Oryctolagus cuniculus: one gene and its partners. The protein of the gene in region 1 purifies or fractionates together with the protein of each later gene. This does not show direct contact. Links are inferred from orthologs where the notes say so. Each region holds a gene or a part of one and is shown in the gene's direction. Other genes may lie near its edges. The genes, in order: MARCHF6, PLIN2 and SQLE.

Region 1 (3,647 bases):
TGGAACCTTTCTAATAACCAGTGGAGAGTTTTCTTATCCATTTTGCCCTTTTACATTTTATGATAATAGTAAGAGATTATATACAAAAAAAGTATAATTTGATGAAGAGAATAACTTTGTAGTAATAAATTTAATCCTGTTTAAGATGCTCAGTCTTGATTATAATCTTCAATGACTTTCACTGATAAACAGTTTGATTTTGCAGAAACATTTTGTCTGTAGAAATACTGCCTTTGATTCTGAGGTTGCTTAGTATTGAAACTTCTTAGGAGCACAGACCCATAACCAAGAGAAGAAGGTTAAATTAATCAAAACTACTCCTTTTACTGTAATAGTATTAATAAAGCTCTTGTTCACTGTTGGTAAGTTTTAAGGAGTTATCTACCTCTTTGAAGTAGTATCCAATCTTACATGTGATTCTGTGACACTTTGAAATGCCGCTGAGAGACCTGCAGTCCTAGAATATCGTACACTACATGTGTAGTGATTTTATTTACTTCCTGGGTGGAGGATGGAATGTTAATTTGGCAAATGTAGGTGGTACAAATTTCTCTCACTTCTTCTGTTTTGGCTTAGGAAATGTTTGATGCTACTCTGAAGGATCGAGAATTGAGCTTTCAGTCAGCCCCAGGCACAACCATGTTCCTGCATTGGCTTGTGGGGATGGTGTATGTGTTCTACTTTGCCTCTTTCATTCTGTTACTCAGAGAGGTGAGTCCCACGTGGAAATGTTGACTGTGTGTTTTTGAAAGGGCCTTTTGCCTTGATCACTAGTCATGCTTCAGAGGCTCTGGTGATTTCCTAAATAACTCTTATCCTCTGTTTTTTTCTAAGGGACTAACTAGAAGGGGAGTTTGGATTGCTTTAAACTGTTTCCAGTTGTTTGTCTCTAATTGACAAGTTGTAAGTGTGAAAGATGATAGATTGAGGAAAAATTAAATGAGAGCACTCTTTAATTTGCTTATATGTATAGTCATCTTGTAGTATGCTCTTAGAATTTTGTGTATGAGCTTCATACTAGAACTATCCAAAGGGTATGGTTTGCAGATCAAATATGTAAAATGGCTTTGAAGCAGGCACTTCAAGTATAGCATTACAGGGAGCATCCTTTATGATTCTAATTCATTTACTAGATGAATACCTTTGCTGGTCAGCTTTTTTGGAATGATCAAGTCCTTGTTGATATGAATATGATGAAAACAGATTAATATTTGATATATTTCTTAAGGTCAATCGTCCCCAGATAATGACTAGGTATTCGCTGTATACCAGATACTGTGCTGTGTATGCTGGTGTAATAGTGAGGAACAAAGGCACATTTCCTATCTCCTCACTTTCATAAGAAATGAATAAATAAAGCTGTTGATCAAGTGGAGCATTCTCCACTGAGACTGGTGATGGAAATGTGCAGGGCCTACAGAAGCAGGCCTGCAAATCCAGTGGGAACAGAATACAAAAGAACAAAGGCTGAATGTTGTTCTCTTTGAAAGATGTGAGGAGGAGGGGGTGGCATCAAAACATTCTCCTGAATTGTATAGTATAAGCTGGTGTGCTTTTTTTGATAGAAGTGATTGAGATGAGAGCAGATACACATAAGTATTTTAAAAAATTGTAATTATATATGAGCTCTAGATTTTAAGGATGAAATGTTTTTCTTTGCTTGCTTTTTTTTTTTTTTAAAGATTTATTTATTTTATTTGAAAGAGTTACACACAGAGAGAGGGAGAGGGGGAGAGAGAGAGGGGTCTTCCATCCACTGGTTCACTCCCCAATTGACCGCAATGGCCGGAGCTGAGCCGACCCAAAGCCAGGAGCTAGGAGCTTCTTCCAGGTCTCCCACGTGGGTACAGGGGCCCAAGGAGTTGGGCTATCTTCTACTGCTTTTCCAGGCCATAGCAGAGAGCTGGACAGGAAGTGGAGCAGCTGGGTCTTGAACCATTTGGGATGCCGGCACTGCAGGCGGCAGCTTAATCCACTATGCCGCTGTGCCAGCCTCTTGTTTGCCTTTTTTTTTTTTTAAGTTTTATTTATTTATTTGAAAGTCAGAGTTACACAGAGAGAGAAAGAGAGGCAGAGAGAGAGAGATCTTCCATCTGCTGGTTCACTCCCCAGTCGGCTGCAATGGCTGGAGCTGTGCCAATCCGAAGTCAGGAGCTTCTTCCGGGTCTCCCAGGTGGGTGCAGGGGCTCAAGGACTTGGGCCATTTTCTACTGCTTTTCCAGACCATAGCAGAGAGCTGAATCAGAAATGGAGCACCTGGGACTCAAAGCAGCACCTACATGGGATGCTGATGGTGGCCTTACCCGCTGTGCCACAGCGCCAGCCCCGAGATGAAATATTTTATAGTTAATTTTTTTTTAATCTCGTTTGTGTGGTTTGTTTCTTGTTGGTCCACTTTAGAAATGGTATATGGTGGCCGGTGCCACGGCTCACTAGGCTAATCCTCCGCCTTGCGGCGCCAGCACACCAGGTTCTAGTCTCATTCGGTGCGCCGGATTCTGTCCCAGTTGCCCCTCTTCCAGGCCAGCTCTCTGCTGTGGCCAGGGAGTACAGTGGAGGATGGCCCAAGTGCTTGGGCCCTGCACCCCATGGGAGACCAGGATAAGTACCTGGCTCCTGCCATCGGATCAGCACGGTGCGCCAGCTGCAGCGCGCCGGCAGCGGCGGCCATTGGAGGGTGAACCAAAGGCAAAGGAAGACCTTTCTCTCTGTCTCTCTCTCTCACTGTCCACTCTGCCTGTCCAAAAAAAAAAAAAAAGAAATGGTAACCCTCTCATTTGTGCTATGGAAAAGTAGAGGTTTGGGCAGAGTAGATGCTTTTCGCAGAATAACTCAGTGAACTTGACCACACAGGACTGTACCCAGACACATCCATATCTGTTGCCCAACACCTTCTGGGTGATTTCTGTTCACATGGGGTATGGGGAGAGATGAGGTACAGTAAAGTGACAGATATGAGAGACTGTACAGTCTCTTAAGATAATTCCTCCCAGGAAGTGCGTGTAATACAAATCAGATCTTCTTTTTAAGACATTTATATATTGCAACATAATCATTTCGCCAGGTGATACTAATATAGTAGTGATTGTATTTTTTCATCTCAGAGATTTTTTTTTCCCTAGTTTAATGTATTCTAATAGCAAACTTAGAAGAATAGCACAGAAAACATTAAAAACATGCACTTGGGTGCCAGCTTTGTGGCATAGTGGGAGACTCTGGTTTGTGTCTCAACTGTTCCACTTCTGATCCAGCTCCCTGCTAATGGCCTGGGAAAAGTGGCAGAAGATGGCCCAAGTGTTTGGGCCCCTGCCATTCATGTCGGAGACCAGGATAAAGTTCCTGGCTTTAGCCTCGCCCAGCCCTGGCTGTTGTGACCATCTGGGGAATGAATTAGTGGATGGAAGATCTCTCTCTCTCTCTCTCTCTCTCTGTCTCTGTCTCTGTCTCTTCTCTCTGTGTAACTCTGACTTTAAAATAAATAAATAAATAGGGGTCCAGTGCACCTGCACTGCCAGCACCCCATATGGGTGCTGGTTCAAGACCTGGATGTTCCACTTTAGATCCAGCTCCCTGCAGATGTTTCTGGAAAGCAGCTTGGAACCTTCCATCCATGTGGGAGATCTGGAAGAAGTGAACTAGTGGATGAA
Region 2 (4,383 bases), on another chromosome or scaffold:
GCCTCTAGAAATTAATTCAATCCTGTATAAAGAACTTTTTAAAAAAATATTTATTTATTTATTTATTTATTTGAAAGGCAGAGTTACAGATGCAGATGCAGAGGCAGAGAGAGGGAGAGAGAGAGAGAGGTCTCCCATCTGCTGGTTCACTCCCCAAATGGCCACAATGGCCGGAGCTGGGCCTATCCAGAACCAGGAGCCAGGAGCTTCTTCCAGGTCTCCTGCATGGGTTCAGGAACCCAAGCACTTGAGCCATCTTCTACTGCTTTCCCAGGCACATTAGGAGGGAGCTGGATTGGAAGTGGAGCAGCTAGGACTCCAGCTGGTGCCTAAATGGGATGCTGGCACTGCAGGAGGAGGCTTTACTTGCTATGTCACAGTGCCAGCCCCTAAAGGACCTATTCTTAATTGGTCTGTTCGGAGACTTAAATACGACAAGCAGGGACAACTGTTTGGTACAGCGTTTAAGACCCTGCTTAGAGTACATCCCATACAGAGCGCTTTGGTTGCAGTCCCAGCTCGCTTGTGATTCTAGCCTCCTGCTAATGTGCGCCCTGGGAGGCAGGGGGGTGGCTCAAGTCCTGGCTCCCTACAACCCAAATGGGAGACCTGGATGAAGTGTCCAGCTGCAGGCTTTGGCTTAACTCAGTCCAGGCCATCTGGAGAGTGAACCAGAGCATGGGAGTTCTCTCTCAAACAGTATCCCTGTGCGTGCTACACTGGTTAAGCAACCGAGCTGCATGCTGAGGTCACCTGGTACCTAGCATTGTTGCCTACCCCCTCACTCTAGCTCTCTGGCCTGTCATTAGATTGTCCTCAGCTGGGGAGACCCAAGCCCTACAACTTGCTTGGGAGATCGATCAGAAACTACCGTCTAGGGAAGAAATGCGCTCAGCACTGTTATGGCTCCGGGTGGTCGCGTAACTTTTGTGCTCAAATAATCTGATTCAGGTGTCTGCATTTTACACAAGAGGAAACTAGGAACGCAGAGCTGGCCATCTTGCATAGAGTTAGGCAGCTATCACTTCGTAGAGATTTGGGGTAAGACCAGAAGGGGTCTTATTAGTATTCGTAGGCTTTTTCTGTTAATTTCAATTCAAGGCTCCATCAGAAATCAACGTTTAAGGGACGGACTTTAAAGCCAAAGAGCAGTGAAACAGGAATCTATAATTCTGTAATTCGTTTAGAATTTTGCGTAACACTAGGAAGTATTTATTCGCTTAAAACAAACAAACAACAAAAAAAAAAACAAAAAACCCCCAGCAGCTTAGAAGTCATTGTTCACATTCCGAAAGCGTTCTCATCAACACGTGTTAACCCGCCTTTCCCGAAATCCTAACGCCTGCGTGGCAGTCATCCACTTTTGCACCTGGCTCTCAGAATCCTCTACCCCGGGACACGGCCCCCGCCTCCGGGCAGAGCCCCTCCCCCGGGCTGGGATCCCGCCCCCAGGGAGGTCAGGGCCCCTCCCCTAGAATGGCCGCTGGCCGGCCGCGGAGAGGGGAAGGGCCGGCCGCGGGTCACGTGCTGCGTGGTGCGGCTGGCGCCGCCCGCGGCGGGTACTTAAGGCGGTGGCCGCCCGCAGGCCGCGCTCTGCACGTCCGAGCTGCCCGCGGGATTCGACTGCTCGCCGCGCCCATCGGTGGGTGCCCCCGCCGCGCTGAATGTTGCTGGGGGGAGGGGGGAATTCCTCGGTTCTGGGGACCTGCCCCGACCCGCCGGGCTCCGGGCTGGACGGCGATGGCTGCGGGCCATGCGGCGGGGCAGGGGCGGGCTTCCGAGCTGTCCTTCTGTGAGGCGTCTTTCCTGCGGGCAGCTTCGGTGCTGCTGCAGGGCTGTGGAGCAAATACTTGTGTCCGACCGGACGTGATTTAAAGGGAACACGCTTTGGAAAATCGGTCTCAGGCATGGTGTGGTGGGGCGTGCAGTGACTGTAGGGCTAATGATCATGGCGCCCAACTTCCCCCTCTGGGCAGCGCCTTCCCGTTTCTTGGGGACCTGGGACCCTGGTGGTGGGGGCTGGGCTGGCGCGGCAGTGGTGGGCCCCGGCCGGCCAGGTGCTTTTCCTCGCCAGCTTGGAGGGTTGGCCTTTTGTGTGGGCCGTGGGGGGAATCCTAAGTTACCCTGAAACGCTCGGTGAAAAGTTTCTCAATTCCTCGGACCGCCTCCTTCGTCTTGTGCTTGGTGTCCCTGAACTCGTTTTGGTGCTTTCATGAGGGAGGTAAAATTAAGTAACCCTCGGATTGCTCCAACTTCGTCTTCCCGACACCCTGCTGAGTGCTCGCTGACTTAACATGGGTTTTAACTTGAGAATCTCTTTTGTGGAACAGCTGTTCTAGTGTCCTGGTGGAGAATTCAGAGTAGGAGGTCAACGACTTCGCTTTTCTCCGCTGACCTCTTTTTCTGTTAAACAGTTTACATTTAAGGCCTGAAACCTTGCCGGGGTTAGGGATAAAGGGGAGGTGGAAGTCCAAGATCATCTGGAAATATTTTCTACTTGAGCTTGGTTTGTACTTGAACATTTTCTTGGGCTGGGAATGAATCAAGGGAGTCTTATCCTAGCGTCCTGAAATAAGTATCTCTCCCATAGATTCCTTTCTCCAGGAAGAAAAAATGGCATCCGTTGCAGTGGACCCACAATTGGTATGAGTTTTATTTAATTTTTATTTCTTATTTGAGAGGCAGAGAGCTCCCATCTACTGGCTCCCTCCCCAAGTGCCTGAGTAGCCCCCCAGCTAAGGCTAAAGCCAGATGCTCAATCTACATGGTTGGCAGGAACCTCAGGGCTTGAGCCATTACTGCTGCCTCCCAGGGTCTGCATTAGCTGCAAGCTGCAGACAGAAGCTGGAGCCAGCTGTCAAAGCCAGGTACTCCTAGGCCAAATGCCTGTCCCAGGTCTTAATTTTGAATAGGTGTTTTGTGACTGTTTTCTTCCCCAGTGTTTTGAGAAGTTAACAACCAAGGGCCGGCGCTGCGCTGTAGCGGTTAAGCTGACAGCCACCCGCAGTGCCAGCATCCCAAAGGGACGCTGGTTCGAGACCAGGCTGTTCTACTTCTGATCCAGCTCTCTGCTATGGCCTGGGAAAGCAGTAGAAGATGGCCCAAGGCCTTGGGCCTCTGCACCCGCGTGGTTGACCTGGAAGAAGCTCCTGGCTTCAGATCAGCGCAGCTCTGGCCATTTCGGCCAGTTGGGGCGTGAACCAGGAGATGGAAGACTTCTCTCTTTTTCTCTCTCTGCTTCTCTCTCTGTGTAACTCTGACTTTCAAATAAATAAATAAATCTTTAAAAAATATTAAAAAGTTAACAACCTCCTCTTTCCCTTTGGTTGCAGAGTGTGGTGACTAGGGTCGCCAACCTTCCCTTGGTGAGCTCTGCATATGACCTCGTGTCCTCAGCTTATGTCAATACAAAGGATCAGTATCCCTACTTGAAGTCTGTGTGTGAGATGGCAGAGAAGGGTGTGAAGACCATGACCTCCGTGGCCATAACAAGTGCTCTGCCCATCTTCCAGAAGCTAGAGCCACAAAGTGAGTTCTCATTTTTCCCTTCAACATTCGGTCCAAGGAACTGTTCAGGGATGAGGGATTCTCTGCCCTTCCGGAAGCAATACTGACTGTACTAGCAACTGTTGGGTGACCCTCGGACCTGGAAGGCCTGATGTTCACGATACTTTAAAAAAAAAAAAAAAAAAATCCCCAGAGATGTTTCTATGTTGGTAACCAAGACCATAAGGTTAGCATCAGAACTGAAATGAAATACTGTCTTGAGCCCACACACTGGATATAAACTTTTTTTTTAGTAATTTTTATTGCGGTAAAATTAACGTACCATACAGTTTGCCTATATAAAGTGTACAATTCCATTGTTACTATTTGTGTAGAATTGTACAATCAGTACCACTGTTAACCTCCCTGTTAAAGAAATCTCATACCAAAGTTTCTGTTTGGGATGATGAAAGGCTCTGGAAATGAATGTTAGTGATGATTGCCAACATCATGAAGGAATTTAATGCCTGTTACACGTAAAAGTGGTGAAGATGAGTTTATATTTTGACTGTTTTATCAAAATAAAACAGACGTCATGCACTTTACCAACCGTTCCCCATTTCCTTGCAGCCTCCCCTGGGCAACTACTAACATACTTTCTGTCTTTATAGACTTCCTATTTCAGACATTTCATATAAGTAAAATTATAAAAGTGGTCTTTTGTAACTGATTTTGTTTACATTTTTAAGGTTTATACTTACATCAGTACATTATCTCTTTGTGTGATAATCTGTTTAGGTAAATCATATTTAATTCATCAGTTGATGGGCATTGGTATATTCTGCTTTTTGGAGATTATGCTTTTGTGAGCATTTATGTAAGTTTTTGTGTTGACTG
Region 3 (3,647 bases), on another chromosome or scaffold:
TGCAGAAGCAGAGAGAGAAAATAAATGTTGGAACTATCTAAAAGGTAAATACTGTGTAACATGAAATCAAAACAGAAATTGTGATTCTGGTAAATGCACAGTATATATTTGAAGAACTGAAAAATAATAGACTTTGTCCTGTAGTAAGCCTTTGAAGCCCCTTATGAGTATTTATTATATTTGGCTGGTATGACTATCTTTTTTTTTTTTTTTTTAAAGATTTTATTTATTTGAAAGGCAGAGTTAAAGAGAGAGTGGAGTCTTCCATCTGCTGGTTCACTCCCCAGATGGCCGCAATGGCCGGATCTGGGCCAGGCCAAAGCCAGAAGCTTCATCTGTGTCTCTCATGTGGGTGCAGGGGCCCAAACACTTGCGTCATCTTCCATTGCTTTCCCAGGCGCATTAGCACAGAGCTGGATTGGACTGAGCAGCCAGGACTCAAATCAGTGCCCATATGGGATGCCGGTCCTGCAGATTGGGGTTTTAACCAGCTGCACCACAGTGCCAGCCCCTGGCTGGTATGATTTTCCAGAGATAGCTATATAACAGAATTTTCTAAATATCATGTTTGAAAAAAGGAACATATATTTAATTTCATTGGGATATCACACATTTTTATTTAACCAGTATTTTGATATAATTGATTTTTGAAATAGTTTTATTTTATTTATTTGAAAGAGTTACAGAGAGAGGTGGAGACAGAGAGAGGTCTGCCATCCACTGGTTCATTTCTCAAATGGCTGCAACAGCTGGAGGTGACCAGTCCGAGGCCAGGAGCTTCAGTCATGTCTCCCATGAGGGCGCAGGGGCCCAAGAACCTGGGCCATCTTCCACTGCTTTCTCAAGCGCATTAGCCGGGAGCTGGATCGGCAGTGCAGCAGCCAGGACTCGAACCAGCACCCATATGGGATGCCAGCGCTGTAGGCCAGTGCGTTAACTGGCTGTGCCACAGCGTCGGCCCTGATATCATTGATTTTTATATGTGATCTGGGTTTAAAAATGTTTCACTTGGTTTGATAATGTTTGGGGTCTAGCTTTTGCCCAAGATGCAACAGTCTGGTGTATTGGTATATTAATAGTATAATTTAAGCCTAATTATACTATACTTTCCAAATTTGGAAACGTATTTTTTTTTTTTTTACAGCACAGAAAAGGAACCAGTATTTCCGAAACAACCTTAATAGGAGCAGCTACCTCTACATCCACATCTTGTCAAAATGATCCAGAAGTTATTATCGTGGGATCTGGTATACTTGGCTCTGCATTGGCAGCAGTGCTTTCCAGAGATGGAAGAAAGGTGACAGTAATTGAGAGAGATTTAAAAGAGCCTGACAGAATAGTTGGAGAATTTCTGCAGCCAGGTGGTTATCATGTTCTCAAAGACCTTGGTCTTGGAGGTAGGTTTATCTTGATTTTTGGGAGAGTTAGAGAATAAGCAAGTGTTCTTTGCATAGGATAAACTATAAGTAATAAAAAGACATTTCAGTTTATTTCTGTTTGTAAAATTTACTGAGTTACCAATAGATTAGCATGAAAATAAGAGCAAAGGAGAAAACAGGATGTGAGGAGATATTAAATAGACTTAAGGAAATAATAATGAAATGTCTAAAAATTGTAATGGTCAAAAATGAGTATTGGAACACTCCTTGAATGAAGGCATGAAATTTAGTGAAAAGTGAAGGGAAGTATGATTTGTAGAATATATATTATATACTTGTTACAGCATTATTTCATTGAATCTGTTATTTAAGCATCATTAATCATCAATGCCTTTTTTAAAAAAATTATTTATTGGGGTGACAGAGACAGAGTTAGTGGTTCACTCCCCAAATTACTGCAAGAGCCAGGCTGGGCTGGGCTGGGCTGGGCGGAAGCTGGGAGCCAGGAACTCAGTCCAGGTCTCCCGTGGTGAAACAGCAGCCAATGACTTAGCTATCAGCACTGCTCCTGTGGATCACATTGGAAGCAAGCTGGGTCAGGAGCCAGTGCTGAGAGCAGTATCCATGTACTCAAATGTGGGTGGCAGGTATCTTAACCGCTAGGCTAAGTGCCTGCCTTAGAACCAGTGCTTTTTCAGCACCAATTGTTTATTTAGAAAATACGTATTCACTACCTACTTTGGTACTGGGTACTAAGAGTCTGTTGATAAACTAGACAGATAAACTCTATTCTTGAGAACAGAGCTCAAAATTTACTGAGGCTATGAGGTGAGAATGAGCTTGTTAGGTGTGTGTGGTAGGAAGTATGATGTATCAACTAGAAGCCTTCCATGCTAGAACTATAGTTTGAGTTTGAATACCACCTCTTAAAAGGTTTATGACTTTTGAATGCCACTTAAGAGGTGTGTGACCTTGCCTAGGTAACTTAACCTCCTTTTTTGTTCATTTATTTATAAAATGGGCTTAGTAAAAGAATCTGCCTTTCATGTAAATGGGTTCACATATATAATGCATCTGTAATAGTGCTTGACACGTATTTCGTATTCGCTGCTTTGTGTAAGGAACTGAAAAGGAGAACAATACAAAACTGGAAAGTAGTAGATGATGGAGAAGGAAGAGAGGCTTGAGATTAGGTTGGAAAGGTGGGCGGCAGCCAGATCATGCAGGCCTTGTTAGGCAGTGGAGCAAGAGTGTGACATGATCTTATTTTACCTTGAAAATAGTGGTTTCAAGCTTTTAACAGCTACTCACAGTGACAATACATTTTACATTCTCAGTACATTCAGTACATGTGCCCATCTGACAGATATTTCCTTTACTTCTTAAATACTTGTCATGATTTCACCTGATTATACACTTGGCAATTTGAAATTCATTTCACAGCTCACTATTAAGTCAAACTCTGGCATTTGTGGAATGCCATTTACATGAATATAGTATGGAAAATACACTGTAAGATTGTGGTAGTGGGCAGGAAGCAATGTTAGGAGTCTAGTGAGGACTAATTACTGAGTCTAAATGACAGATGGTGGTGGTTTTAATTAGCATGATAGCAGATATATAGAGAAGTAGACAGATTCATGATGAAATTAACAATTCCTGCTCAGGAATTGGCATGAGATGTCAGGAAGAGGATGCTATATCAGAAGTGATTTCTAGGTTTTGACTTAAGCAACTTATAAATGGTGATACCATTTGCTGAGAGTGAGAGAATATGGAGGTACTGGAGGGGAACAGGCGTGGGGGAACTTTGGGGAAGAACCTATTGGGATATCTAAGTGTAGATGTCAAATTGGATGTAAATCTGGAGTGCAGAGGAGTGGTTTGGACTGGCTGGAGTTAAAGTTTTCACAGTTGACAGCATGTTTGTGGTGCTTAAAAGCCATAGCAATGATCAAGACCCCAAGGGAAGTATAGGGAGAAGATAGAATAAATTAAGTCTTGGGAAATGCTGATATTTAAAGATTGTGTAGAAGAGGAGCATGCAGAAGAGACCGAGAAGGAACTGGCTGATGGTAGAAGAAAGCCAGAAGTGTTTGGTGTCACTTAATCTAAGAAAGGAGAATCTTTCTGTTCAGAGGAAATGGGTATGTTAAGAAAGGACAGCTATGACAAGGTTTGCTAATGAAGGGTTTGGTAAGATGAGTATAGAAAAATGACCACTGGGTTTGGCAGTTTATTTTTTAAGATTATTTATTTGAAAGGCAG

Evidence for each region.
Region 2: the proteins of MARCHF6 (region 1) and PLIN2 purify together in Homo sapiens (affinity purification with western blotting; 3 studies listed by BioGRID). This does not show direct contact. The link is inferred for Oryctolagus cuniculus from reciprocal best matches to the Homo sapiens genes MARCHF6 and PLIN2.
Region 3: the proteins of MARCHF6 (region 1) and SQLE purify together in Homo sapiens (affinity purification with western blotting; 4 studies listed by BioGRID and IntAct, with this or other methods). This does not show direct contact. The link is inferred for Oryctolagus cuniculus from reciprocal best matches to the Homo sapiens genes MARCHF6 and SQLE.

The regions. Positions count from the first base shown.
Region 1 is NC_091445.1:39,765,426-39,769,072, forward strand, and holds part of MARCHF6 (E3 ubiquitin-protein ligase MARCHF6), read left to right. Parts: intron 1-576; coding exon 577-711; intron 712-3,647. UniProt on the Homo sapiens protein: Endoplasmic reticulum membrane-associated E3 ubiquitin ligase that plays a critical role in mitigating endoplasmic reticulum stress, the regulation of cholesterol and lipid homeostasis, and ferroptosis.
Region 2 is NC_091432.1:182,106,569-182,110,951, reverse strand, and holds the start of PLIN2 (perilipin-2), read left to right. Parts: upstream 1-1,465; 5' UTR 1,466-1,476; coding exon 1,477-1,642; exon of another isoform or gene 1,643-1,905; intron 1,906-2,590; coding exon 2,591-2,643; intron 2,644-3,332; coding exon 3,333-3,528; intron 3,529-4,383. UniProt on the Homo sapiens protein: Structural component of lipid droplets, which is required for the formation and maintenance of lipid storage droplets.
Region 3 is NC_091437.1:150,643,827-150,647,473, forward strand, and holds part of SQLE (squalene monooxygenase), read left to right. Parts: intron 1-1,144; coding exon 1,145-1,397; intron 1,398-3,647. UniProt on the Homo sapiens protein: Catalyzes the stereospecific oxidation of squalene to (S)-2,3-epoxysqualene, and is considered to be a rate-limiting enzyme in steroid biosynthesis.